2 linked regions of the Struthio camelus genome follow. Each later gene encodes a partner of the first gene's protein in a complex. Links are inferred from orthologs where the notes say so. Each region holds a gene or a part of one and is shown on either strand. Other genes may lie near its edges. The genes, in order: NMUR2 and NMU.

The links.
Region 2: the proteins of NMUR2 (region 1) and NMU are in contact, whole or in part, in a cryo-EM structure (PDB 7XK8), measured with the Homo sapiens proteins. The link is inferred for Struthio camelus from reciprocal best matches to the Homo sapiens genes NMUR2 and NMU. Residues at the interface, in NP_064552.3 of Homo sapiens: Ser42, His43, Gly98, Glu102, Glu105, Met106, Trp107, Arg108, Asn109, Tyr110, Pro111, Thr123, Phe126, Glu127, Asn181, His185, Pro199, Ser201, Thr203, Cys204, Val206, Tyr213, Phe284, Arg288, Phe291, Glu295, Trp297, Ser298, Glu299, Ala302; in NP_006672.1 of Homo sapiens: Glu146, Phe152, Ala153, Ser154, Gln155, Gly158, Tyr159, Phe160, Leu161, Phe162, Arg163, Pro164, Arg165, Asn166.

The regions. Positions count from the first base shown.
Region 1 is NC_090954.1:12,816,197-12,831,247, reverse strand, and holds the start of NMUR2 (neuromedin-U receptor 2), read right to left. Parts: upstream 8,043-15,051; coding exon 7,326-8,042; intron 2,142-7,325; coding exon 2,057-2,141; intron 549-2,056; coding exon 423-548; intron 1-422. UniProt on the Homo sapiens protein: Receptor for the neuromedin-U and neuromedin-S neuropeptides.
Region 2 is NC_090945.1:56,460,840-56,476,523, reverse strand, and holds the start of NMU (neuromedin-U), read right to left. Parts: upstream 7,612-15,684; 5' UTR 7,591-7,611; coding exon 7,440-7,590; intron 7,075-7,439; coding exon 6,964-7,074; intron 3,832-6,963; coding exon 3,773-3,831; intron 1-3,772.

The sequences.
Region 1 (15,051 bases):
TTAGTTCCACTCTATTTGCTTTTTTAACAATATACATAGCAACACTGGGCAGGGAGCCCAGTAGGCTGGGTGGTAACTGGGGGACTGTGGCACATAGCTCAGCGGATGTTACACATTGCTATCTGTTATGTCATGTTTGACATTTTGTGTCAATTACGTTGGAGAAAGACAGTTCTGCAGCTGGTAATCTTTGAACTCTTTAGACAGCCTGTCGTGTACTTTGGAAAAAATTGTTCAACGATGGCTAGTTGAGGAATAAATTCCTCCTAATTCTGAGGAATAAAATCATGAAGCTGTGTTTGACCTTCAATTCATGTATATATTCTATGGTCACCTAAAATTAAAATGACTAAATATTCAGGTAAGCCGCTCAGAAACACTGTTTTTCCAGCCCCCAAGCAAGTGGAAAAAGCAAGTTTTACCTGATACCACATGGATTAAGTTGAATATATTAGCCAGAGGCTCAGTCCACTCCACCACAAAGCTGAAGAAGAGCCGGTCTATATGGAATGGAGCCCAGCAAACAGCAAAAATCATCACCAGGACAACTAGTACGGAGAAAGGGAAGAAGAAGAAGAGTCAGTTACAGATTGATAGGGCTCACTAGCTTGCACTGAGCAGAGATGGCTCAGAAAGCTAGATGAAAGACCAGAGATACAATTTTATTCACTGTTTCAAAACCTGTGCCATCCCTTCTGTCTTTCTGCAGTGCTAACTGAAAAGCATATTTCCAGTAAAAGAATAAACTTTCCACAGATCTCTATATTTGATAAATCAATACACGGGCACATGGTGAGCTTTGGATGGAGCAGGCAACAGCCAAGTAATGTAGCTTGTCCAGAACCTAATAAACAAATTGCCAATGAGACACAAGGTTTTATTTGTAGTACCTGGGACACAGTGACCACTTGGACTGTGAGTCTGCCATGCACAGAAAGCAAAGTTTGTGCCATAGGATTTATGTCCTCTGCACACTATTTGTACACCACATGGCACAGGATGAGCCCATGGGAGCCATCCTCGGAGGCTGAGTCTGGCTGGATGCATTGCTTAGCATGAAGAAGTATGCCTCCATGCACAGCGTGGCCTGTGACAGCTCCAGTGAGGACTCTTGCAAACCCATTCCAGAGTTCAGTCCTATTAATGTCTGTGTTTACAGTCACCAGGGACAGAAATTCATCCTGACTTCAGAGCACAGGTTCCCAGTTCAGGAGGTGACTTAAGCTGCCTAGAAGAAAAATGCTGTTGCGTCAAGTATTGAGAACGATTAATGTTTCCTGCATAAACACCATCCCTGTAGTAAGGTGATCTTTGCCTTAAGGGCAGCCCTAAATTCGGAAGCAATGTGAGTACTTTCAGGGTGGTTGGAGCACAAATTCTCCAGCGTGTTGTATATTGTGTGTTGTATATATAAATCTACCTAGGTCTCTACTTTTTCTTGGGAAGGTCTGAGCCATGAAGTCAGCAGTAGGTGATGAATGCTGCTCAGCAGGACCTGTCTGAGACATGAGCAGAGCCTTTGGTGAGACATTTTACAGGCCTATGAAACGTATGCTCTCTGGTGTTGGGGCAGGGCTATAGATATCTCATTAATTATTTGTTTAATGAGAACACAGGTGTGCATCCTTCTGTAAGAAATATGCGAGAAAGAGTATTTGTACTCTGAGATAGAAGGATTCACGCTACAAGGCTGCAAAAGCCAGGTGTGGACTGAGGGATGCAACAGAGACTTGCCATCCAAGTACCTGCCACTTAAGTTTTCTCAGGCTCTACAACGCGGAGGAAAATGCCTCTTTTGATTCTTAGCCAGTGTTTTGCTCCCATGGTCTGTAAGACTCCAGCTAAAACAGCAATAAGCATTTTTTTTGAAAATAAGCTATCCATGACTCTTGGATCCTTTGGAGTTGCTTGGTAGCCTTCGGGACCCAGTCACTGGAGTTTCAAATTTAGGAATTAACTCCAAACAGATTCTATGTGCACTTCCCTCTCTTGTCTGAGATGTACATATAGCCTCTTGTCCATGGTCAATAAAATACAGAAGGTCCCCAATACTTACATAACATCTTAGTGACTGATTTTCTGGATGGTCTCTGAACATTCACAGCCATTTCCTCCACTTCCAAAGATTTGTCTCCTTTCAACTAGCAAAAGGACAGAAGCAGAAGGAGAGCTTAAATAGGAGATGACTTCCTCACTACACATACAACCTTCCTGGTGGGAATGAAACCATTGCAAAAAAAGACCATTTGCACTGGGCTAATGGTTAACCAGCCGTTTTGTCCCTGAGCATTATGTCTGGCTTGCTTTTTGTTAATAAAGATCTCAAACCAAGAATATTTAGGATATGTAGACCAGTTCTCTGAACCAGAGATGATGTTGAATTACAGTGTGGTAAAAGGGTTTAGTTTCCTCCTATTGATGTTGAGAATAGGCTTTGCAAATTATGATAGCTGTAGTTTGAGTTTGAGAAGCCAAAATGTGGGGAAACTCAGGATTCATTGAAAAAATGTTTACTTAAATTTCAGTTGTAGTCTAGGGAAACAGTGAAGCTATAAGTTCAAAACAAGCTGCTGATTTTATGCACCTCAGACTGCATGTTAACAGCAAATTTATATTTAAGTTCCCCACTCTTCCCTTCTCAATGATTCAATATTTAGCCTGTAGTTTGTGTTTCAACATTATTTTGTCTCCTAGCAAAATATTTTTTGTTTGTTTGTTTCCCTAAAAAGGTTCCCCTTTTAAGCAATTAAGCACAAATCAATGATCCAAAAATACCCAGAGAAGCCTCATTGAAAGACAGCTAGAATCACTGGAAAAAATCCTATAGATTTGAAGGGAGCTCATTCATGCCCTGAGTGTTTGAACTAATTGATATTCAATTCATCTGACAATATCGCCTATCTGTCCCATCCTGCAGAAAGCCAGCATGCGTAATATGCCCAGATTCAGCCACATACAGATCAAGTACAACTTTTTTTTTTTTTTATCCTAGCAGTTTTTCCTAGACTTCCAAGAATGGACCTAAAGAGCAAAAATCTGATCCTCCCTGAAATGCTTCCCCAATTTGCTTAAGGTAGGAGCTCTGGTGCTTTGGTGATGGCTGGATAACCAGGGCAAAAAACACTTTTTTTTGCTTTGATTATAACAGGAATTATCTATGGAGGGTGCATAATTGGACACAGCTTCTGAAAGCGGGAAGTGCTGATTAGCCAACAACTCTGGAGTGATGCTTTTTTCAACAGAGAGAAACTAGAAACAAAACTTCTAATTGTATGGGAACAGATATTGGCTGAAAGGAAAGACAAAAGCATGTAAAAAATTTGTAAGAATCTTACGAAATCATGCTATTTGTGCCGCTTCCTTTCTCCTCTCCTGTGGTTCTGTTTCATGATTTTTGATTAACTGCCTTTTTCTTTAAGGATGTTGTAACTTTGATCAAAGAGACCTTCTTTCAGGGCCTTATTTATAGATATAAACCGTAAAAGGGAAGTATATTTAAACTGAATTATATTCAATTATAGGGCAACTAGCTTCCCATGTTTTACATTATTCCCTTTGTCATTTTTAGACACGACCGCATCGCTTAAGGAACAGGGTCAGCTGATTTGTAGCACATCTAGTGATAAGTGTCTGCTAAGATTGAATAAAAGCCCTAGTTTTCCCTCAGTGGTTTTCAGTCTCAACAGTAATTTATCCCAGGAATACTCCAAAGCCACACAGAATACTCTGCTCTGATACTATAATAAACTAGAGACATATATCTTTATTTTTCACCTTCCTCCTGTCATTTTGATAATGCTATAAGGTCCTCTTTAGGCTGAGTGATAATACATGGAGGTATAACTAGTAAGAATAATTCAGCAGTTGCAATTTAATAAAATAATGACTTATGACAAAGTGGAAAAAGAAATGAGTCTATGGCAAAGGTTTTAGCTTGAGTTCATGTCAATGGCTTGCCAGAGGGAGACCTTGAGCCAGGCTAATGGTTACTTTAACATCACTGTGGATGTGCTGGGCTGTTTGTGAGATTATGTCGAGCTGCCTGGAGATGATTGTTACCCATTCCCTGCAGGAGAATTAAAAATATCTGGAGAAAGAAGCTGAAAATTGGATTTTTTTCGCCCTGCATCTTTATTAACTACAGTATTTTATACTAGAAATCAAAAGGCAGAGTGAAATTAGGGCCTTGCCTATCCCTAGGCAAACCTAGTGAGGTCACTCAGCAAAAGCAAGAGAATCGTTTTTCTTAAAAAATGTCTGGCCTGTCTGACACAAGCAGTGATCAAACATTTGTGCCAGCTCATGGAGAACTGGGTGTTTAAAAGCCACATGGCTTGTGCTAGGGCATGCGATCCTGTATATCCGTGATTTGGCTGAATGAACTGCCATCAGGCTGCTGAACCCCTGTGGTCCCCTGCACGTACTCTTCCTCAGCCCTGTTGCAAAGGAAAACATATTAGTGGGAACAAAGTCTGCAGAACAACCTCAATGGAAAGGAGATAGACCTGTCCAGAAGTACACTGGGCTTTGCAGAAATTAGCCAAAGGCAGTCATTGTCCGCAAATGATTCTGTTTGGGCAGCTGGGCATTTCAGGGGCAAAATAGATTTTGATGAGAAGATCTGGACCAGCTGTTCATTGGCAAATACAAGCTGGCGTAACTCAAAGATGAAATCAAAATTACCAGTGTGTTCAGTGTGTTACTGCAGGGAGCTGACACCAAAATAAATGCTGGTCTCTTGTGAGGTCTCTTGAATAATCTCACTGAGGTGTGGTCAGTGTAGTCACATCCGATCATCTAGATTTCCTTCATAGATGTCCTAAGTAGGTGGGCTAAATAACATTCTCTCCACTGACTGTAAAAAATCCTAGCTCACCGGAATCTAACTTTCAGTCAACCAGGGGTAGCCACCTACCCTTGTGCCTTCAAGATCAGTTTGAAAGACAGGGACCCTGAACCGAATCCTGCTGCAGCACAGACTTCTCTCTCCAAGTGATGCCACTCCACCTCTAGCAGCGCTGTAAGGTTTAGCTTTTACAAGCAGCCGTATCCCCATGTTCTCACTTCTGCCCCTGCCTCTTCCTCCTCAGCTTTTTGGCTACAACTTGCAACCAGTAGCCTTGTGGCTGAACTGGGTTTGTAAGAAGAGAGAGCACTTCTGACTAATTTAGGGATCAGTCCTGAAGGCTTCTGTGATGAGGACTCCTGGAAAGAGACAGTCAGAAGCTTCCAAGATCAAATCTAATGAGGCTACAGTGTAATCATCAGCGTCCTCTTTCCTATAGTAACGTTGCAACTGTCTGTTGCCTATAGCAGTGTAGTACTAAAATATCAAGCCTTAAAATTAAACTGAAGTAGATCATGAGGTAACTGATAATGAGGTAATCAGATTGAAGGCTCGGTTGGCCATGAATTTCCCAGTGAAGAAGACAAATATCTTTTTTATTTTTATAAGGAATACAATTAAAAATGAAGTCAGCAACTGTGTGATCCACGTTTGCTGCCCTCTCATAGTTCCTTAACATGTCACACATACTTCTTTTTGTGTTGCATCCTGAAGCTCTCCTGAGCACTGGGTAAAACTTGAGGGAGAAACTACAGTCAGAAAGTGCTGTTTCTCCAAAGCTTGGACTATTAGAACAGAAAGATTGTGTCCTTGTTTGCTGAATCTGAGCTGTTGTACAATCTTTGGACCAATTCTGAATTGTTCCACTACAGCCTATGAGCCATACATGGCATTCAGGAGACTCTAGGGTGTAGGTAAAGCTTCAGAGATTTCATCAACTTTGATTAGATAAAAAATGTTTTTTTCTTGGAAATGGTATATATACACCACTCACCCATCATTTAAATTGAAAAATAAAACTATCTTGCCTAGTGCAGCATGGAGCACAAAGGAGATATACCAGGGATAGGTGTAGTTTAAAATTTGGAAGTCTGAGATGGATAGAAAGAAAAGCAGACGCATTAACAAAGATACATTGCAGCCTTTAGGACAGAAGACTTGAACAAATCTGTGGCTATACAGAAACCTCTAAGAAGCAGCCATCAGTTGGGACCCAGTTTCTCTTCTACAGTGGGGGTTAGGAATATCTATTGCCACAAATAGAAGCTGTTGCAGTCTTCAAGGTTTCTCTTTACTAGTTTTGGGCTTTCTTTTTCTTTTTTAACATACACTATTTTCAGTACTTTCCCTTCCCTTTTGGTCTTATTTTTCAAAATTTTCAGTGAAACTATGCAAAGAACCCACAGTCACCACTGAACTGTAGCTTTGCAAGAATTTAACCCATTCATCCTTCAAAGATTTGTGGCGTGCTATAGATTTCTGGCAATTAATCCCTATGGCTTTTCCTGAGTATGGAAAAATTGCTTTTGTGTAGCTTCAGATAGGTATATTGCATCCCTTCCTTGTTACACGATCAGACATAGCTTTTTAAATGCAAAGTTATATTTAGGATAGTGAGCTTAAGATGTATGTTTTCCAAATATATGTAAGAAAAGGAACAAATCAGCAACTCACTATGACTAGCTGTGCATTTCATGCTGCATAGCTTTATAATACTATGATAGTGTTTGTTTTATCCATATATTTAAATGATGACACTTTGTGAAACTAGTCCACTTTCTGAAGAGAGCTCCATAGGAACTCCAAGGTAGCCTTAATCTATGTTGAAACTGTGCCATACTTATATAAAAGAAATGATTGCTGAAATTGCTACCTGCAGCAATAAGGCGGGATTTCAGTTTATGACAGTTTTGTGAGTTTTAAAAACTGAGTATTATCACACTCTCCAGGGAAGGAGAAGAATGAATGAAACAGAAATTCTACAGTCACAAGAAGAGGGAAAACAAATGATACACAAGATTCGATCACTACCTTACTCCTTTTCATTCTTTTCACATTTTTCTTTTGGTCTGTTTCCTTCTAGTCCCCACTGAAAAGGTACAAAGCTCTGTGAGACTGGAATCAATACATAGATTTTGATGTTAAAATAACTTTGAAATGTCAGCAGCAGTGATAGTAATTTTAAAAAAAGATTGGAGTAAATATTTCCCCAACATAGCTACATTCATTTTAGAATGGTGTTACACCAAAGAAGGAGTTTAATCCACTACTTTCGGGGGTTAGAAATGAATGTCTTTTTTGGGAAGACAGATGGGCAAGAAAAAGATTAAATCAGACTTAGGCATGTGCATGTGTGCGCGCTCGCACACACACACACACACAGACACACACACGCAGACACGCAGACACACAGACACACACACACACACGCAAAAGAATGAGCTAGGGAAACACTGAGCACGGTTTCAGTAGGACTTACTCTTAGCCCCATCAGATAGTACAGCACACTCATGACCCCCATAGGCAGCACGTAGAAGAGAAGGGAAGTAATCTGGACAATACAGTTGTAGATCCACATGGGCCTGATCACAGTGCAGGTAGCAGAGCCAGGGACTAGGGTGCCATTTGGGAAATACTGCCACATGATGCCATGGGTGCTTGTGTTGGGAAGGGCAAAGAGGACAGAGAGAACCCAGAGCACGATGATGGTCCTCAGCGCACGCTTCCGAGTGCTCTCTAGCTTGGCACGGAAAGGATGGAGGATGGCAACGTATCTCTCCACGCTGACCGTAGTCACACTGAGGATAGAGGCAAAGCACACCGTCTCAAAGAGCACTGTCTTGAAATAGCAGCCTACAGGCCCAAACAGGAAGGGGTAGTTGCTCCACATCTCATAGATTTCCAGTGGCATCCCAAAAAGCAACACAAGCAAGTCGGAGACAGCAAGGCTGAAGAGGTAGTAGTTGGTAGGGGTCTTCATGTTCCGGTGCTTGATGATTACCAGGCAAACTAGGAAGTTTCCTACCACACCAACAACAAAGATCAGAATGTACACCAAAGCCATGGGCAAGAACAGATGGCTCCGCTTGGGCCCACACAGGAAGGCTAAGTAATCCTCAGTGCTGTTTAAATATCTTCTAAGACGTTCTTGTAGAGCAAGGTGATTAAACCAGGAGGTATTGGTGCTCCAGGCCATTACTGGTTCTGCTGAAATGTTTCCCCACTGAGATCCAGACTTCTGTAAGGTTCTCTGTGCTAGTATGCTCACTTTTAGCAGAGAGTGAGGGAGACTTGTCTTGCCAGATCTAAATACACAAAGCCACTGAGAGATCTGAGTGCGTCTGCCTGGTTTCGGTGAAGGTTTCGCCGTTGTAACAGCTGCTCCCCAGCGAGGAGTCCCTTAGCCAGAAAGCCCCTCCTTTCACACATATTCATTGGCTAGCTAAGTGCATTAGATTATAGGGTAAGAAAAGAGGTTCTAGCTACTTATATCAGCTCCCATAGCAGATGCATTTACTGAATCAGAAATGTGGGGTTTAGAGAGCTGGGAATCCGAAATATAGGATGTGAGACTAGCTGCAGGGCACTATTATTTGTCAGAGAGTGGGAAGCCAGACCAAAAAAAAAAAAACAAAACACCCTCAGTCCAAAAGCTTTTACGAAATTATATTGATGCTACATCTAGTTATAATCCACAGGCAAAAAAAAAAAAAAAGATTTTTTTTTCATGTCTCTGCTGATTTTTCCTTTCTGTTCTCTCTGACAGCAAGTACTTGGAAATAGAAATTTATCAGGAGAAGGCCAAACTATTTTGGAAGTTCATCATGTGGAATTAAACAACTATTGACTTTCAGCTTTTTTTAAACAAAGAATTTTTTTCTTCTCCTGAAACCTGACATAGAATTTTAATTGCACTTCTTATTGGTAGCAAGATATTTTTTCCCTCCTTCATTTTGTAAAGGAGGATTACGTCAAAGCGCACATTAAATTTTCATGGAGGGTTGTCAAATTTGCTTGATCAGAGATTTGAGAGTTCTGGAATCTGATCCCATATTCTTCGCTTCATTTTGAGATGCTTTTTGAAGAACATCATACTATTCCGAAGAGTTATTTAGTACCAGCAGGATTCATTTCAGGTACTTCTTTTTAAAAAATTTCCATTGATGCTTATAAACTCATTTCTTCCTGAATGGCAACCATTCTGCAAACATACTTTCTAATCCAAAAAAGTGTATTCTGCAAAGACAACTGCTTTGTCACAATAGATCGGTTAGCTCTTTATAAATTCTTAATTCCTTACTGAATTTTGCTAAAACAAAAAAAGCTTCAAAGCACGTGGATGTTGTCTTTGGAGATTCAGAAAGCTAAGCTGTCTGGATTCGTAGACGTACAAAAGCTGTGAGAGAGCTCGGGGGATTTTGTCAGCGGGATGCAGTTTGGCTACTCAGTAACTCTCACTCGCTCTCTCTTTTGAGTACCTGCCCAATCCCCCCTTGAGTTCATTTAAACTTCTTACAACCCCAGCATCCCTTGGCAAGGAGCTCCATGGATCTAGTATCCATGTGTGAAGAACCTCCTCCTTCTCTTTGTTTGACCCTTTAGCCTGAGTTTCCCTGGCTGCTAACCAAAGACTGCATATTTTTACCATCCAGGAACAAAAGAAGAGGCTTCTTGGCTGAGCATCTCCTCCAAAATCCTGATAGGAGGTGAGTACCAAGTATTTCCAAGGAAGGTGCAAGCCACTCCACTATGGGCAGCGAGGCAGTAACCTGATCTCGCAGAAAAACTGTTTTTAGACTTCAGGATTAAAGCTGTCTTAGCTTCTGCGTCTTTTACTCCTTCCCTCTCTAATCATCTCCTCTGTTTTAGTAGCAGTCTAATACCCTTGTAAGGAAAATATTTTGGTAATAGGCACAGACTGCCTCCAGGAATAGCAGCAGTAGGTAAAGAACCAAGGTCTGGTCCCAGAGACCAAGCGGTTTGAATTGAGGCATATCAGATGTGTGGAGCTCTGAGGATTTTTTGTTCTACTAGTGTGCATTCATTTAAAATGTTAGAGTTATGGAACATACCACAAGAACTACACAAAAAGACAGATGCGTGTCTCTTGTGAGAACTTTCTGATCCACTGAAATTATCTCATATGTAAATCTTCTCCATCAGAAAGCCTCTACTGATTTATTTTAGCATTGCCCAGAGGCATCGTGTTGAGCCAAGTAAACTGTTTTATTGGATTGGTAAGCTACGAGTGTTCCCCTTTGACCTATTTCTCCCTTCATTAAGGAATCATCTGAAAGAGGTTCATTGCATTTTAACAATTGAATGTGAATTTGATTGCAAACTACTGTTGGCATTACAGGTAGGAACAGGAGAGTCATTAATGGGGTGCCTGGTGGGGATCAGGATTAAACGTTTCAGAGCGCAGTAGGATGCAAACACTTGTGAAGAATTTGTGCAGGCCTAAACACTTTCTCTGACTCTTCCTAATATCCACAGTGGGGTTTTTTTTTGCCCTTAATACCTCATTTCTTTCAATTTCTCTCCTTTTTTTCCCCCCTAGCAAGTTCTCCCACTCTCTACAGCATCATGACTGAGGTGAGTAAACACTTCAAAAATAATGACCAAATTGGTCTTCACTTTTGTTCTTATACGTTAACCCCTGTAAAGAATTGAAAAGGAAACTTGAGGTCTGCTCAGCTTGGACTCAGTCCTACTGATAAGAAATCAAAATGGATTGAATCATTCACTGAAAAAGCCAGCAAGGCAGCCAAGCTCTCATGATGTCTGTGAGAGGAAAGCAATGGGCTGTCAAAACACATCAGGTCACCTCAATGTGTGGATGTGCCAAGCTCACCAGTGTCTACTTGCCCTCGTTCTCTCTCACTGATCCTTTCTAATCGTACTGTGCTCTAGTGCTAATGAGCTTTAAGAGTGAGACCACCAGAGGAAAACAGGTGTATTTGTCTAACAGATCACTCCTGGAACCATGTCACTATGACATGATTAAGTGGCAGACAGAGGGGACAAGAAAGGCTAGGACAGTGGAAAATATAATTCAGTTAATTTATCTAAGCTTTCTTCAGTGTTCTCTAGTGTAACTGTCCCAATAAGGATCAGATAGCACATCCAGCAACCAAAGGCTAACCCTGGCATGTGCATACTTGGAACCATTTTATTTTTACAAGTGAGATAATAGAAAACAGAAACATATTTTGCTTTTGAAAGGAATTTAAAACACTTTGTATTTTCCATTATAATGCATACTTCATCAGTGCTTTCCGTTTTCCACTCAAAGGAAGACAGTGTGCTGCATGCTAGCCTTAGAAATGTGCAGTTTAATGTTGAATAATATGCTTGGCAACATTAACCCAGAGGAAATATTCCTGCACTGTCCCCCTACTAGTCACGATGTGGCTTTTTCTCCTTCAGGACTAAATGTGCCCTCAAGATGCTTGTGGTATTTCTCATGCCACATTTACATTGTGGAGTCTCTTCCTTAGATGACGTAACAGCGCTAGAGCACATACGTTGCATATTTAAGAAGCGGTAAATTCAGGTGCCTTCATGTTGCCCAAAGCCCTTGTGAGGGCACCCAAGCCTGTTGGAGCTTGCTTTCCTGAGTCCTCTCGTGGACCCCGTAGGAGCTGCCAGCAGATCCTCACAGCTCTGTGAAATGCTGGTTCAAAACCACTGTTCTATTCCTTTAATAACTTTGCAGTATGAAGCATCTCTGGCCCGCAGGGATGCAAAGAAGAGGCTGTAGAATTGGTAAGCAGAAGCATTAAGATATTCTGCACTGAATATGTTAACATAAGTGCTAGAAAAAAATTACTACCCTTGCCTAGAAACTACTAAGTTTTAACTATAGACTGTTGATTTGACTCTTCTTTCTTCTTACAAAGGTTTAGTTGTTTCACTGCTGTACCTGGCATGTAAGTCCTTCTCGTCTTTCTAAGTATTCAGTATAACATTCAAGGCAGCATCAAACGCGTGATATATTTTGTATATTTTCTCTCCCTCCGGGCTGGAGGAGTGAGCTGCGCTATAATAATAGCTGGATCTGCAGTAGCCTTGCCTTATTGTTAGTCATTTTGCAATTATCTGAGCTCTAGGCAGATGGTTTTTCCATGACTGTGCATGATATCTGAAGTCCCCAGGATATCAATCAACACACATAAGAAGTGGCTTTCATGAGTACAGTACAAAATACCAAGGAGCACACCTCTGTGACTGGTGTAGCTGACAATCTATACAGACAGTGCAGACACAGAGCACTTCAGGTAATTTACCTAACTTTAGTCATTAAAAACAGCAACTAAGCCTAACTTTTCAGGCTCCTTCTTTGGTCAGTGATAGAAAGGGGACCCTCCAGAAAGTGATTTGTCCTAAACCATAATATAAGATAGGAGGTGTGAACTGGAAGACCTTACTTTTCCCTATTATCTGCAGGACTCTAAATAGAGTGAACCACTTCCAGGCTGTATCTTGGAGAAGCTAGCCGGAACAGCCAAAAACAGTACTGAGAGCAAGACAGCAGGTAAACAGCAAGGACAGTGAGAGATTCAGTGCTAAAAATCACTCCCTGGTCTCTTCTTGTCTGGTAGTCTGGGTGTACGGTCCTGGGCAACCTGCTCTAGCTGACCCTGCTTGAGCAGGGGGTTGGACCAGATGATCTCCAGAGGTCCCTTTCAGCCCCAGCTATTCTGTGACTGTGATTCTGTACCCACTGAAATGGCTTTCAGTGATGGGTTGTTTTGTCAGTGTTCATCCTGGTAATGAGTGGGAACAATGTCCTTCCTTTTTCATAAGTGGGGTGTTGTGTGTGTGTGTTTATGTGGGCAGGAGGCAGAGGGTGACAGGTAAGATGTAGTGCACGCTCAGTGTGCAGCTGAACATCAAAAAGAGCTGGAAAAGAAAGCTGATGCAGAAACTCTTGTCATCCTGAATGCGTCCATCATGATGAAGTGGCTCTGATTTACGTGGGGGAAGATGAAAGGATGGTCACGGCAGAAAATATATTGACGTTGCAAGCACGATACAGAATGACTCAGACTGCCTGAGTCAGGAGGGAATGCAAAACTCTTTGGTTCTGCAGGGCTCTGACTTACGCAGGAAGAGTCAGATTATTCAGCATCCCTCTATGGCTTTCTGCATGTTATTACAACATTGATACTCCACTACAGTTTCTTCTTTTCCTTGCAGTATACATGTTTCTCTGGAGAGCCCATCTCGCTTGCTTGTCTGACCCACAAGAGACTTAACTAGTTTCATCTTTTTTACCCTGACATGACTTATCAGTATTATTTTTCAGCTTGCATACATTTGGCTTCTGTTGCTCACCTAGGGATTTTTTTCTATTGGAAAAAAACATGCATATCCTAGAGTCTGCATAGTGCGTGGATATGTAAAAGTCGTATGCACTGATGAGATGGAAGGAATCATAGTGATGAGTCTTAATGCATTCAAAGAAGTGCAGTGATGCATTGTATTATTGGAGATGGTAGAAAGCTTGCAACTTGTTATAGGATAACTGAATTTGTCAATAAAAACAATAAATGGGACACATGGAATTTATATGGCACCTATATATAAAATGAAGATAAAAGTATATGAAAGAAATGTTAAGAGAATCCCTTAACTAAACATTTATTTGTTTAAGGTTGGTGTGGAGGTCTACTTGCCTGTGAAGAAAATGAAGTTTATGTGAAAAGTTTTACTCTTATTGGAAAACTATATATACACTCTATTCCCTCCCCCCCTGAAATGCAGTGATATGTTACATTATACTAAAAAATGAACATTCAATTTAGAACTGTTTACATAATAATAATGAAACTTATTGAAACTGAAACAACTTTTTTTCCTGCTCCTACTTTCCAAAAGGGCATCTTTAAATTATCTATGCATGTTTCAATTTTCTTGGCTCCAGGAGAAGTATTATCCTACGGCTCATTAGAAAGACTGTTTGGCAAAAATACTTGTCAAGAGTTTCCCATTCTCTTCTTTCTTCTGCTGTTGTTCAGCTTGCTCTGCAAGTTGGATTACAGTGATCAGCTGTCTTTGTGTCACAATGAGAACCAATACTGTTTGACTTGGAACTAATGAAACATTTTATCAAAAGATGTGCATAATTTGGAACATTAATATGCTGTCACATGATGTTCTCTTCCTGCTCTTTTTCCCATTAAGCTATCCTTATGAGCTGTATTTTGACTTAGTTAAATGCAGCCAGGGAGGCTACTGTTCTTATGAACGTCTCCTGCTATGAAGTCAGAGAGAGAGAGAAAGCTCTAGACACAGCAGTGCTGAAAAAAATATATGGCAGAGAGATAATTTACTATAGCTTTCAAATAGCCTAATGAGCCCTAGACATGCAAAACAAACTGCAGATCAACTTCTTAAAAAAAAATTTCAGATTGCAGTGCACACCTCAAGAACACCTATATGATTTGCAGCGAGTGAGCTCTCTATGAGTAGTCCCAAGCAGAACTGCAAAAAAATTCCTTGTGAGAGCTGAGAGGCAGGGGAACAAGGAACAATCCACATGCAGTGAAGACAACGGGTCCCATGTGCAGGACCAGGGTAGAGGTTAGCTGGCCTGGCCCCCTCGGATGACCTGGTGATTTGAGATTCCGCAGCTCTGCTAGGTCAGCTCCTCCCCAGCCAGGATTCAGATCACTCTGCAGTCAGGAACCTTATTCCCATTGCTGAAAGATGAACTCCTGAGGCTGAGGAGCTTTCCCACACAGACACCTGCAAACAGGCAAGGGAGTGAAGGTTGTCCCCTCCTCATTTCAGATTTCAGGAGAATGCTCTTTGGCCGTTTCCTTATACCGTTGCCCACACGTCAAGGTTGAGGCCATAGCCACTGAAGTGCAGCTTTCCTTATTCTTCCCCAGTATTAACTGTACTGTGGCTGTGCACGTTTGGCTCAGTCCCCCTCTCTTTACTGGGGAGAGTGGTTTAGCATCCTCTGTCCAGACTGATAAGATATTTTGCCTGGCCAAGACAGCTTCATTACCTGTGCTCACTTGCAAACACACCCCATCAGATCTGAGCTGGTGCAGAACTCTACTGATTTGCTCCGATTGTACTAAAAGCTAAATATATCACTTATTGATAAACATATGAGCATGTCTAAAATGCCTTTAATAAAATGAATTTCTGCTGCAGAGAGAAATGACTCAAATCTGACTCAAGTTATT
Region 2 (15,684 bases), on another chromosome or scaffold:
AACAAATTTACCCTTGCTTAATCTCAACAACCACATACTAATCTGTATCCGTTATTCTGAAATACCACTCATGTCCCTCCTATTTCTAAGCTTCTCAGACTCATAATTTAAATGAAGATTGTAAGCTTCTGAAGCATGGACTCTGAATGTAGATATCTTCTGTGATATCTTTTGGTTATATAAAACTGCAAAGAAAATGGCAATACTAAAGCAAGTGGTTCAATGTTCACAGCCCTCAAATACCATTCTTCTGACTGGGTTCCAGCATCCCTGCAGGTGTATGACACACACCTCTCTTGAGCAATTAAGGCACATCTTATACATCCCGGTCCATTTGTGTGAGTCACCAATCAGCCAGACTCCACGGTTTCCACTGATTTCACTGACAAATGAAAAGCCTTACAAGATCTTGTTTACAGGAGTTGGACCCCAAATCACAAGGCTAATAAGAGATATATTCAGTATATTTCAAAGAATCTGGACTCAGATCAAAAAACGCTGTTGAAAAAGTCACTGCCTTTGGACTGGGATGGAAGTGACACAAATAGAAAAACAAAACCATCCTCCGCCACAGACCAACCCAAGAAACCCCTGCCCGCCCCAGTCATTTCATCAGGATCAGAACAAAGGTCCATTTAGCTCCACATCTTACCTCCAAGAACGGCCAAACGTGCCCCCAGGGAAAAGCATAAGAAGAGATCAGCTATCTAGTAAAACTTGTACTCTCCAACCACTGCCAGTCTGGAGCTCACAAACTTTGAGTCAGAGGTCATTCCTTGGTAATAAAGCTCCATGGACTCCTGTTCTGTGCGTTTGGCCAAAGTGTGAACCCTTGTAAACTTTTAACATCCTCAACATCCCGCAGTAAGGATTTCCTGAGCACTGCATGAAATACCACCTCTTTGTCTTGATCAGTCCTTTCAAAGCTAGCTTCATTCACTGCTATTGCAGTCTTGTCTTGAAAGAAGTAATGAACGATCCCCCTACCCACCCTCTCTTTACCATTCGTGACCTTGTATAGACCTTAATCATGTCCTCTTTCCATTGTCTCTTTTCCAGGCTGAAAGAATCCCAGACTACAGAATCATTTCTGGTGCAGTTATTAATCAGGAATATTAATCAGGGGAGAAGAAATAGAAAAAAGGACATTCAGATTCATTGAAGTTATTTTACCAGGGCTGAAAGCTCGAAGTATTCTATAGGGAAGCCAAAAAATCTCCAGTACTCCAACTGGAGATGCAAAATTTAATAATAATGAAAAAAAGGCTTAACTTTTCATTATATAATTTTAAAATTGTATCAATAGCAACCTGCATTAGAATACACCAATTTTTTCCATTGAATATTTGATACTGTTAGTTTGGATGCCAAAAAGCTTTGACAATCATTATACTGTTCACAGTTTGCATCAAAAATGTTTTTTTTTTCAAATGAAGAGTGGACAACACAATGGGTCCTTTAATTTTATTATAGATAAAAAGCCCTAAAGAGCACTCTTTAGTGAAGAAAACATTAAGTGAAAAAAAGCAATAAAAATAATGCATATTTGAGTACTTTAAGACAAGAGATGATTCATTTCTCTAGGGACAATCTATGAGAAAGCATTAGCAGGGATAGTGAGAAAGCTAATAGCTCACAGGATTCCCCTTTCAAATAATTTTTGTTGGTAACATATCCTCCCCCTGTTCTTTTCCCTTGATTTTACATTTGCTCCTCTCTGGGAACATTAGTTCACCTTCACTACTGAGATTTCAGGGTAAGAAAACGTAAACAGAGAAATTAGCGGCAAATAAAATAAATTAAGCTGAAATCATTCTGTAAGCCCAAGTTAAAAGCCTCTTATTTCTTCTTGGTGAAGGTTTATTTGTTTTTTTGGTTGTTTGTTTGTTTGTTTGTCTCTTTTGTTGCTGGAAGTGACTATTAGACAACTACCATAACTCAAGGGCAGGGAAAGGCAGAGACTGCTTTGTGGTCATCACAGTGCAAAGCAGAGGGTCTCTTAGCTAAAACCTGCACATAAAAAGGAAGGACTGAGGAAAAGTCATAGTTTCAGGACTTGGCAACTGTTCTTTTCTTAAGAAAAAAATAAGAATTGGATTTTTTTTTTTTTAATTTCTATCATCTTTGATGCATGTTCTCATTAATTTTCTCTCCTACTTCAGAAAGGTGGCATGAGGATGAGCGCTTGTGAGCTGTTCGGGGTTGGTTAAATAGAATAAAGGAATGAACTGGTGTGGGAGAACAGTAAAGGAGCACTGTAGTTACCAAGTTCCCATATTTATAAACTCAGAGTCATTCCTGGGAAACTACTAATTTAATTTCAGCTTTAATTTCCTGACCAGAATGATCAACTAATAAAGTAAAAAACAAAAAAAAAGATTCTTTTCATTCAGAGAAAATCTGGTGAACTAGTATTGTTCAGACTGATTTAGAGTGCATCTAATTCTCTTTTCTTAGTTTCTCTCCAGGCATGCATTATTCTAGTTGTAATTAACAACATTTTATACTGATTATGTTACATAATTTCATACAGAATTTAGTATTTTATCCATACTTTTCCATGCACTGAAAAAAGGAGCTTTGCCTTTGCCCCCAGTGGCTGTTGGAGCAAATCTTGTATTACAAAAGCAAATCAAAGAGTAAATGCAAAAATGTGTAAAACAGCATCTTTTAATCCAGAATTTAAATAACTCATTTTCATAAACTCTTCTAGCTATTAGGATCTTACTTCCTGAGACATCACTTTTCTCCCAGGACATAAACATCATCAGGCCTTGTCCAGGTGCCAGTCTGTGAGTAGGCTGGTCTTGGAGTCAGTAATTCTGAGATGAAAGAAGGGGAGCTGTCAATAAGGGAAGTGTGTCCTGGAAAGGCACCAACAGGAGCAAATTTACTCTGTATATGTGTACCCATTTCTTTCCATGATGAGTTGCTTGCTTTCTCATGTTATCAGAAGCCACAGAATGTCACCACAGTCCTTCAGGATGACAGCAAGGGGAGCATGGCACGTTTCAGGCTAGCCCTCTCTAAATGTTAAGCCCTGCTGCCCCATCTGTTCCAAAAGGGCACAGAAGAATCTGTGTTAACGCACATCAGAACAAATGTGTGTAACTTTAAAAGAGGGGACCGGAAGTCAGAATAGCAGTCAGTATTAAAATGTTAAAGGGACATTATCCCTTACCTAGTAAATTAAGATGCTAGGATATGATTAAATACCCAGCCCTGTGTGCAGAACTGAAGAAGTAAGAGATAAATTGGATGAGCTGAAACAACTACTGTTATCATGTACAAACTATAAAAATACTAAATGGGACACCATTGTTTCCAGGGACAGTGACTGCCTGATGATTGACAGTTAAATAACAATGGTTCTCCAGCACAGCTCTCCATTGAGCCAAGACAGTTTTTTTCCTGAATAACACTTCAACACTCAGCCTCATCATCCTCCTGGAACAACTGTTCCGAAAATCCAGAAAATAAGGCGTTTTACTTCTTCCCTGATATCAAGATAGGAGATGAACAGGAGAGGTAGGACTGGGAGAAGCAGCACCTGAGCTCCATGCGTGAGACGTGTGGGAGAGCGAGGTGTGAGACCAAGGACTGGCACAGAAGAAACAGGAGCATCCCACACAGCATTTGCAGCTGAGGCCTGAGGTATGCATCTGCGGTGTTTTAATCTTGCATCCCTGGCCTACTCCCAATAACTGGAAGAATCACTGCCAGCTGTCACCCCTACAGCAAAGGGCTGAGTCAGCCTGCCCATCATGCTTACCTCTTTCCACAGCTGCAAATCCTGATCTGCCTGTAGGGCTTGGGATGGCATCGGTGCACCTGGAAGCACAAACAGGGCTTGTCAATACCATACAGCAGAGGTCATTTTCATAAGGATTCTATGTCAGTGATTTAGATAATAATTCTGAACATAATACAATACCCTGCAAGTCTCAAGCACCTTTATTGTTGACTGTACAGTGAGCTTAATGCTCTGAGGGCATCTCCCACCTCACCCACTCCTAGATTGGTCTGGCACTTTCTGCCCACTCTTCATTTTCACAGCAGCAGCAGGTTCCTTCACAAGGTGGCGGCAGATATGGACACTTTCATCTCTTTGCAATATACAGGGTGGAAATGGCTTCGTTTTCACCAACAGTCAGCCTAGCATTAGTCTATTCTCAGCAATAAGTAGCAGGCAAGAACATGTGTGCAGCAGCTCTCCAGCTCTAGATCTGCTCAGGAAAAAATATTCCAGCATCTACAGCTATCAAGTCCTCCAGCTTTCTGAGAACTCAGCTCACCTTCAGTTCACTCATTTGACGCTGAGAATCTGGATCCTACTTGTTACTGTGGTATATATTACAATTAAACATGTGCGACGTAACCTATTCAATAATACATGCATTTCAATAATACATGTGACATGAATACGGCATTTCTGAGAAAGAAATAGACAGTATGTATGTAATTGGCTTTGTTTCTTCTATCTGGTGTGTGCTATATGGAAAAGTTCAGCCTCTTAGAAGATTAGATGTATTCTATAATTTCATAAAGCTACGGTGGAAAGCTGAAGCTAAGGCCGTGTATAACAGTACAATCTGCCTTTTGCTGGAATATGGAGAATAATAAGTTGTACCAGAGACAGTGCAGCCTCTGTACTGATCTGATCTGGCAGAAGGAGTTGTTAAAAGCCACTTGGAGCAAGCTCTGCTGTGTGCCCCTGGGTGCTGTGCTTGGCTGGGGGCAGCTCCTCTTCTCCTTCTCTGCCCACCTGGGATGCAGACCTGGAAGTTACTATATCTGGGTCCCTCCCAGCTTAGCTCCCAAAATATCCAGCTTTCCACATTCTCATTATTTTATCTGATAGTGTATTTCTAGTAATAACGTACTATCAAAATCTCCCTAAATAACAGAAATCAACATCACTAATCTGGAACAGAGCACTCTAGAGATCACACTAGCATATCGGTGTGGGGATATGCTGTTAAGTGGGTTGCTGCTGGGGAAGAGTATTGTTGTAGCTGCAGAGTCCTAGGACTGCAGGAGACCCTAAGAAGTCATTTATCCCCCTGCCTAAAATTGCTGTCCCTGAGCCATGCCTGAGCAATAGTGGTATAGCCTGCTGAAGACCTCAGATGTCCAGTGGTTTTGTAGCCTCCCAGACAGTCTATAATTACCTGTGGTAATTTTTTTTTCCTGAAATGTTGAATGAAATTAACTGAAAAGAGAGATGAAGATAGACCTAGCACATAATGACTAGGTGAGCAAGATATGAATGCCCATCATCCCCATTTGTTTTACAAGTACCACTAATAACAACAGTAGTAATTTTCAGGTGTAAAGCAGTATATTTCAAAATCCCATTTTGGTACTCCAGACTCAGTGTGACTCATTATTCTGGATGCCTGTTCTTCCCACAAAAAAGTGGGGAGGTCTCAACTTCATCCTATGTAGGAAAGGGAAATTTTTCAAATCTCTTAGAAAGTTCCACATTGTAAATGCTTCCCAGTGAAAAATGTGCTTTTTTGATGTTTGTTTTAGTTCAAAGAGAAACTCCAAATAAATTAAAGGTGCTACAATTCTTTTGCTTTGTATCTTATTCTTAATTAATGTATTCAAACTGGAATTGTCTGCCTGATTCCCAAGACTTTCCAGGGGAAGAGAAGAAATCCAACAGCCTGTAAAGCTAAGAGCAGCTTTTTTTTTTTTTTTTTTTTTTCCTCCTTGGAGCAAAAACCTTTGAATGGAGCTTCACAAAATCCTTATTTCATTTGCAGTCCCATCTGTTTTGTGCTCAAACTGGGACTACGCATCTTCCAGCACCAAGCAGTGCACTCTTGCAGGCTATAGGGACTTCATTCATTTACATACGTTCATACTAACACACACTGGGAAACAGTAAGTGATCTTGTAAGATACACAAAATATCCATAGAAAAAAATTGATGCTATTCAGGAAAGCTAATTCTATTCAAAAGGAACATGGAAGAGGAAATCCTCCTACAGAATTGATGCTGTCCACTACATATTTGCTCTCTTCTCCTTCAAGTCTGCCCACTGCTAAAAACTCAGTTTCTTCCACGTCAGCAGAACGCCAGATGCACATTCTCAGTAACTTTTCAACCTGGGACTCGCTTCTTAAATATTCTTCTCCTCTTCCTCCTCTGCTCTCCCTGTATGGGCTCCTGGAAATCTTTTCTATAAGAACAGTGATAAAATACTGTGTGTCCATTGCCCATCCCTTCCCTCCTTTTTCTTCCCTTCCCTCTTTCACAACCTGAGAATTTATTTTGAATAGAATATTCAGCATAGTGTACTTAAATTTCTCTGCTTCTTGATATCAAAAATAAACCAAAATGAAAACTCCTGATGAAAGTAACTCACATACACAATACAAGAAAGCAGACATGCTCACTGCACATGTACTTCTTTTGCAATGATTCTCACAAGTCATATTAAGTATTTAATATACACAGAGTGCAAAAATAGAAAACAAAGTATGTTTTGTCAAAATGTCCATTATCTGTGCTTGTTTCACAAGCACTGCCTGTTGCAAAACCTGTAACTTTCATGTGCAACATGTTATATTTCAAACTAAATTAAGCTAATCAAATTCTGTCTCTAAAGCAAACAATCAAGTTCTATCTTTTTCCACTTAAATAAAACCTATGTGCAAGGCAGCACCCACGAATCCCTAATGTAATAAATATTGTTTCAGGTTGGACTAGATGACTTCCAGAGTCTCTTCCAACCTAAATTCTCCTCTGATTCTGTAAAACATATAGTTCCTCTGTGTTAGCATCTAAATCAAGTAAATTGTGTTTAAAAATGAAATCCATTTTAACACAAGCCACTTCCCCAAGTTGCTGGACTGTAGTTTTGCCAGGACAGAGGAACCCTGCAGGGACACATAAGGACACCCGCCCCCCGCCACAAGCCCTGCTCAGCAGCAGATAAGAAACCCCCTTACCAGGACTCGCTCTGCCTTGGCCCCTGACTGGGGGGCCTTCCTTGGCAAACCCTGCGTGGGCTCCGGGCTGGAGCCTCCTTCCCAAGAGCTGCAAGTTTGGAGCTGAAAGAGCTGCAAGAAGCATGAAGGGACACGGTCTGGCTGCAGCAGCAGCTCCCTGTTGGGTGTCAGAGCCCTGGACGCTGTTCCCGTGTTCCTGCTCAGGGGTAGCCAGGGCCCCGACACCCCCGTGGGCACCCACCCAGCCTGTGAGGTCCTGCGCGTCTCTTTGTATCTCTCACAAACTGGTATCTAATCCCACCCCAGAACTGCAGCGAGGCAGCGGCTTGCACGCAGCCGGCAGCTCCTTCGGCAGGAATTTCGCAGCCCCCTTGCAAGGCTGGCATGCTGCCGGAGGTTCACCTCCCCCATTACCCCCCTCCCCCCAAATGCAGAGGAGGCAGTGGAAGAAGGGGTTGAGGGAGGATGCTCCTAACCTTTGCAAGCACCCAGCCAGGAGGCGAGGAGGAGCAGCAGCAGCAGCAGCAGCGGGGACCCTGGCGCGGTGCTGCCGTCCCCTGCCTTCCTCCGGCTGCGCAGGGGAGCGGCTGCGAGAGGCTGCTGGTGGCAGAAGTTTCCGATGACCATGGTGTCTCCTGCTCTGCCTCCCTGCCAGCCTTCAGTCTGGGCATGCCTCTCTCTCTTCCCAAACTTTTTAAATCTCCCCGACACGTGGATTAGCATCAGCTTGACTCACCAAGGACACGTCAGACTCCCTACCACCCGCCATGCCCACCCCTGCCTCTTTTCCCATCACCCACCCCAGGGCCAGACCCTGTCATCGCTGCCTGGTAGCTGGTGACTCAGCCCCTCTCCCACCTCTGGGGGCAGCTCCCCTTGTGACTCGCCGTGCCAGTGCCCCTGCTTGGCATCAAGCTGAGGGGACGGGCAGGCTCTAGGCCCCTTCCTATTCAATCTCCTCTTTCAGAAAAATTCCTGCTTAAAAATCGCAGGTACAACACACCGAGCTGTGTTAGCAGCCTCCTGACAGTGAGCACACCAGGTGCTGCTTCTCCGCTACTCACTTGGGTCATTCACAGTAATGACACGGGGGTGGCAAAGGTGAGTTTTTCAGACACTGTCCAATCCCAGCCTGGAGAGGAGAAGAGGCATGAATTAAACCTGGGCGGTCACACACACAGATTTGCCCCAGCCTAACCAAAGCCAGGAGATAAAACTCTCAGAGCTCGCACGCGGGAGAGGACCTCAGCAGTTGGGGCCAGGCGCTCTGCGAACACGCACCGCCTGCCTGGGAGCCGCCGCTCCCTCCGTTCCCTACAGGCACCCACCACTGCAGAGGCGTCACTGACCCCTGACTTCCCCTACCCTCTGCGGCACAGAGAGTTAGGAAACCACTCCACTGCGCAGCTAAGGAAAGTGCCATAAAGGCATAGGCTGCTGGGCCCCTGGGCACACCAACACCCCAGTCGGCGCTGGCTGCCTCTACCCAAGGCCAGCTGGGACAGCAGCGCAGTTTGGACCCTGGATCAGAGACCTGTGTATTTCAGCTCTCTGAAGAGCAGCGAGAAGTGCAGGCTGCTCCGTTCTGCTCGGGAGTTGCATTTAAACTGGGCCTCTTGCCCTTAGTCTTTGCCCGAGCTCTGTTGCAGCCATGCCCCTGCCCTGCTCATGCGCCCCATGATCCAAACCTTGACCCACAGACTGACTTCCCAGCTTGCCCGCAGACCTGCTCCATCACCAGGGACTTGTCTGACGGTCTGGGCTCTTGCCTGAACTTGGCCACTGTCACCAGACCTGCCCCCTCACCCTGCACCTCACTGGTGCATTTCATCCCCAACAGGGAGTTGTCTGAACAGAAACCAGCTTCGTAACTTGAATGTGAGTGACTACTAGGACAGCAATCCCATACACATACAACAACACATCACGAAACAGTACATAGCAATATGGTGATATCTGGGAGTTAAAATCCTAACACAGTGCTTAGCAAGGCATTTTACTTAGGCTACAGCTGCAAACCTTGTTCCCAGGCGTTATTTACTATGCCTTGTCAGATCATAGATAGCCAAGATAACTCCATTATAAGATATTCAAATGCAACACCAGATCCCAAATCCGTAGAGACCTATGGGCAGCATAGGCCAGCCAGCACTGACGCACAGCAAGTCCCCACTTACCAGAGCTGCTCCCCCAGTGCACAGGTGCCTCTGCTGCCTGAGCCACGAGACTGTGCTGCTGCCAGTAGGACACCAGGGCTGGTGCTGGCCTGCCCCTCACGCCAAACCAAGCAGCGGAGTCCAGCCTCCCGCAGGCGTGCTTCGCAGGCGGTCCCTGCTCCCTCAGCCCTGGCCTCAGGAAGATCCTGCACTGCTGAGGTGCAGCTCTGATGCTGAGACGCTGCAGAGAGTATTTCACGGCAGGATCTCACAGTTTACAGTTTAGCCTCACGATTTATTTCTCATTTTTTTCCATTCTCTCCCATTGCTTACGTGGTTGTTTTATTTTTCTGTCTTTAAAAGGAAATAGACCTAATGCTCCAGCAATGAGACAATGGTATTTTAGAGACTGTTCTCTTCAAAAATAAATGTGCAGTTTTTGGACATTTCAGTGAATTTTCGCTGGGGGCAAATGGTGGGTGATGGTGTAAAGCTGCCTGACAAGAACAGCAGGTGTCACTGAGAAGCAAAAGACAACTTTGATTTGTCACAATTGCATTTATATCCACTCTTTGCCCTTGCACCAATCAGTCATATGTTCTACAATTTGTACTCTGCCACCATGAATACTCCTGACAGGCCATCAAAACTTTGAAAAGTTTGCCAAGCAGGGTGCTAAGAAACTACATAATTCTCTAAGAGAAGAAAGATCCTTCTATCAGATTCAGTAATGAAGCATTCCTTAATAAGATAGGGAAAAGAATGTGTTGATGGATAACTGGCAAGTTATCAGAGCACTACAGAAATTAAACAAGCCTGTATTTTGTATGTATTACTGTATTTATATCTACCTAATTAAAAGAATTGTTTTAAGCCAATCCAAATCAAGGAACTGCATTTGGTTCTGCATTCTGCTAATAAAAACAGAAGACATTTACTTAAAGGACATTATCCTAAATCCTATCCTATCCTATTATCCTAAATCCTATCCTATTCATCAGCCCTGAAGAATATCTCCCTGATGTTCTATCTTGGTTCAAATGCATTAATCTGTGTCCTGAGCACAGGCCTAAAGAAGGATTTAATTTGTTATATATTTTGTTAACTAATGGTTTTTTTATTAAATATTTAATAAATATAACAAATTATAGTATTTTATAAAGTTGAAAGTTGCATACCTGTAAACATTCCATTAAGTGGTGCACAAAATATTTTAAGAAGAGTGAAAAAATGATACTTCTTGAAATAAATTTATTTTCACAGAATCACAGAATCGTTTAGGTTGGAAGGGACCTCTGGAGATCATCTCGTCCAACCCCCCTGCTCAAGCAGGGGTCATCTAGAGCACATTGCCCAGGATCACGTCCAGGCGGGTTCTGAATATCTCCAGGGAAGGAGGCTCCACAGCCTCTCTGGGAAACCTCTGCCAGTGCTCTGTCATCCTCACAGCAAAGAAGTTTTTCCTCAGATTTAGATAGAACTGCCTGTGTTTCAGTTTGTGCCTGTTGCCTCTCGTCCGGTCGCTGGGCACCAGTGAGAAGAGCCTGGCCCCGTCCTCTTGACACCTCCCCTTCAGATATTTATACATATTGATAAGATCCCCTCTCAGTCCTTCTCTTCTCCAGGCCAAACAGGCCCAGCTCTCGCAGCCTTTCTGCATAGGAGAGGTGCTCCAGTCCCCTCATCATCTTTGTAGCCCTCCGCTGGACTCTCTCCAGGAGTGCCCTGTCTCCCTTGTACTGGGGAGCCCAGAACTGGACACAGCACTCCAGATGTGGCCTCCCCAGGGCTGAGTAGAGGGGCAGGATCACCTCCCTCGACCTGCTGGCAACACTCTGCCTAATGCACCCCAGGAGACCATTGGCCCTCCTGGCCACAAGGGCACACTGCTGGCTCATGGTCAACTTGTCGTCTACCAGCACTCCCAGGTCCTTCTCTGCAGAGCTGCTTTCCAGCAGGCCAGCCCCCAGCCTGTACTGGTGCATGGGGTTATTCGTCCCTAGATGCAGGACCCTGCACTTGCCCTTGTTGAAGTTCAGGAGGTTCCTCTCCGCCCAGCTCTCCAGCCTGTCCAGGTGCCTCTGAATGGCAGCACAGCCCTCTGGGGTATCAGTCACTCCCCCCAGTTTAGTATCATCAGCAAACTTGCTGAGGGTGCACTCTGTGCCTTCCTCCAGGTCACTGATGAATACATTGAACAAGACTGGACTCAGTACTGACCCCGGGGGACAATGCTAGTTACCACTGAAAGAGCTCTGATTAGCCCCAAACTGCATTTGTGATATCTGTTTTAAACTGTAGTCTGAAAAGTTTTGCTGAATCCACTTGCATAGAACATATTAAAGGAGATTGAGGATGATGCCAAAAAATTTCCAGTCAGAAAAATTCTGGTCTTCCATTTACTAGAAAAGAAGCATTTAATACTTCTCTCTATGCTTTGAGTTGTATTGCTCCCTAATCTTTCATCTGAAACTCAAATTTTGTTTTCAGCTGATTCCTGTTAACGAGCAAAAGCAGTAATCATTAAACATGCAAACCTATTTGTGCCCTGAATCCTAGTGGACTGGAGTCTTCCAGCACTTCCAACCCAATATGAACTGCATTTTCATTTTAGACTGTGCCTTTGTCCTGATTTTAATTTACCTGACCTCTGACATATGGGTAAAGTAAACAGATTTGGCTATCATCTTCCTAAACATATCCTAGAAGAACAACTTAACTATTAATAAAAATGCATATTTGCAATAAACCTAAACTCAACTTTATACTGATACAAAATTCCTACTGAGATCTATGTGGATTTTGACAGAATAAGTTCTCCAAACTTGGATCTCAGTTTATGTAAGTTTTGATGATGAACTTTACACAAGCAACTCACAGAAATGCAAGTAATAGACCATTTGTGTAAGCAGGAGAAAATACATCTTTCTGTATTGTATCTGTTTTTGTTTTGTTTAATTGCTTGATGAAATTGATGTTACACTATTGCAGGAACAAAGCACATCCTCATTAAAAGAACAGCTTGGAGGATGTTTTGGATGCTGTAATTAGCTTCTTTGAAATATTTATGTTCTTCCTAATGTTGCCTGAATAATGTTAATTATGGCTAGTGGAAAGGAAATCAAACAGCTGAGTATGTAAAACCATCATCCTCTCCATCTTCAGAAAAGTCAAGGTCAGGCAGAACGTCACTGAATCCACTGCCTTTCTGTGCATACGCATACACAGCCTGTGAAGAGGTCGATCCACACTGTTTTTTCTGTGACTTTGATTTAATAAAAATGATGAGAAACCATTCCACTCACGTCTGAATTTAAACATTGAGATACTTTTTATCCGTACTGTACTTCCTTCACCAAAATATTCCCGACTTTATTAGTGCAGAGTGCTTGAACTGGGTCAATGTAAGCAAGCACACCAGTGTCTCTCACAACTTCAAACGGGTACACAAACACTTTTTGCCCTTCTATATAATGAACAAGTTGCAAACATGGGTATTCTTCTAACCTGTTTATGTTTTGCCTCCACCAAGCTTAGTTCTCTAAGTCTCAAGCATCAATTAATCCCTACTCAGAAAATGCACTTCTTTCTTTAAGGTATTGTCCTCATATATTACTGACTAATAATGCAGATTTATTTCCCTACAAATAGGAAACAGCAAACAAAAACCAAGCCATTTAAAGCATGATAGGCCCTATATTTTTTCAGAACAGTCTCTTCTTATTTTATTCAAAATAATTCCTCAGCTCTTCCTCTACGAATACAAAAAATTTAAGTGATCTCAGAAGTTTCTAGTGAACTATAGAGGAGAACTTCTCCGAACTACTTTGGAACTCTGGCTGCAAATGATCCCAGAAATCCCAGCCCCTGGGCTGAGAGGACTGCACTAAGAAATAGTGCTAGGACTGACTGCTGCAGATATTCAGAGCTATCTTCAAAACCTGAATCTTTTGTATAAGAAGGTCCTTGCATACAAGAGAGATGCTCTTAAATGGGCAAAGGAAATTTGCTCGATGAACAACAGTGACTAAATTCAGGAAAAACAGTATTAGCGCAACTCTTGCAAACTAATGGAAACCTATTTAAATTAGGACTAAATTTCGCTCACCACGCACAGAGAGACTGAAGTCTCCTATTCACAGACATATAGTATGGGCAAAAACTGACCATTTCCTCATTCTTAGTTCGAAAGGAATTCATTACGGTAGAAAGGGAGGTCACTAAATTTCATCTCCACATTGTTTGCAGTCTCAGGGGAAAGATTAATGCTGCTAACTGAAAAGTAATGAACGTGGAGAAAAATAGCCCATGTTGTACCTGTGCAGCAACAGGAAGTAAACCATCATGTAAGAAAGAGACACTGGAATCACCATGGATGGTTCTACAAGGACACAAGCTCATTGCCCAGTGCAGTAAAAGGGGAAAAAAAAATCAATAATATTGAAAAAAATTAAAAATAAAAAACACTAATCAGCCACTGTACTAACCTGTGGTGCAACCACATGTGGAATACTGCGGTTCCGATCACCCACAGCTAAAAAATGCTGGAAATTGTGGCAAGTTCAGTACAAAGCAAGTTTGACAAGACTAGGACTCTTCAGCATGGAAAAGCCAAAACTTACAGAGTGATACAGTACTTATCTATAACACACATATATGAACAATGTAAAAAAGGTGAAGATAAATGATTTTTAACTAATTCTTCCATCAACATTCCTCATTATTTCCATACAAAACATGGAACTTGAAACAGAACAGTTTGTTTTATGAAGTCCTGAGGATAGTACAAAAAATTCATTTTCTATTCAAATAAAAGTAATACATTAAATAATAATGACAGCAGATGAGTAAGAAGCACGGTCTCATAAGCTGTTTGAAAAGTGGCTGATCTCCAAGATCATACTTTTCTCTAATAAAGCCCAGGACAAATCAACAGCTGTGATTGTTTAAAAAGGAACATGATTAGACTTACCTGGGAAAATAGGGTTTTGAGCAACCTGTCAATTAATGACACTTAATTAATAAAATGATTTAAAAAAAAAAAATCAACATTGCTTTCAGAACTTGCAGGTTTTGTAAGTAAAAAGACCTTAAGCAGAAAAGAAAAGTGACAGTGGATGGCTAATAACACTCAAACTGTTGTCCTGTCTTCCACAAGACTGTGAGTTGAGCTGATGATTTTATAATAGAATCATTTCTCTTTGAAGGAGAAACAAACTAATGCCACCTAGGAATGGTTTACACTGTTTTATTCACAATAGGTACATAATTCCAACTAGGAGGAAGGCTTTCTGGAAATTTTGCTTACAGAACTCTGATGCATTTTGGCAAAAGTTGTGTGCTCCCATTGGCTTCAGAGAAAATTACAATCCTAGGCTTAATTTGATAGATTGTCTAAGCTCTGACATTTCTCTGAAAAAAAGATAAGATGAAGAGATGTAAACACTGTTCAATGTTTCCCTTTATTTTTTAATAGCTGAGAATATTAATCTCAAAATCACCACAGGTTTTCCCCCAGCTTGCTAGTGAGGTACAGCTAATGCCTACTACACAGAGTTTCTCCGCATAGGTGCGGCATGCATATATTTCCTTGGTAGTTTGAGGGGAAAATAATTTGTTACTATGAGAAAGGTGCCTGCAAGATTCCTAGGTTAGGATCATCCTTTCATTATACATAAGTATCAAGCACAGCATAGTAGCGTCCTCATCCTTCGTTACTGGTTTCTTTACTGTACCACACTATTAATTTTTAATAGTTCTTTAGGTTACATAATGTACATAGCATAGATTGGGAAAATATAGTAATAAACAACTTTAAATCAATTCATTCTTATTGTGCGCAGAAAAACAGAGAGCTCAACTAACTCTAGAAATCCCAAGCTTTCTGACAACTGAGAAGCTATAGCTTTTCTCTATCTGTTCGACGGTATGAACCCTATAACTGGCTGAACTAGTAGAGCTGCTAGACTAACTCCTTAGGGAAGTTGTTACATTTTAGAAGACAAAAGTGACACTTTCTCTTTTTAATTAGCTGACACCTTGGCATCTGCATGAATATGCACACAGCTATATACGTCACTACTTACAGCATATGAGTGGTAAAAATGACTCCTCAGAACAAACCATCCAAATGAAAGCTACTTGAACTGCAGTCTGTTCTCCTCTCATTAAAAATCTGTCTGCTCATATCATGTGCTAGATCACACAGGTTCCTCCTGGAAAAAAAAAAAAAGATTTTTTTCCTTATGAAAAAACATTACTCAGGGTGAAGAAACATTAACTAATGCTGATTAAGACAGGCTATTCCAACTACTACCGTGAATGACAGTTCTCCCTGTAACAGGAAATACAACTGGACCATCTGCACCACTGTTACACTCTACATCTCAAGTGACAGCCCTGGAGTTAGTAGGATCATTATTTGTTATTCTAATTGTGGGAGGAAGCCAATAAAGGCTATGAAAAGAACACATATTTGAAGGTATCAGGCTTCATACAAATACTCAGTTAAAAAAAAACCTGCCTCAAAGATCTTACAGTTTAGTTTAAGACCACAGAACTTTAT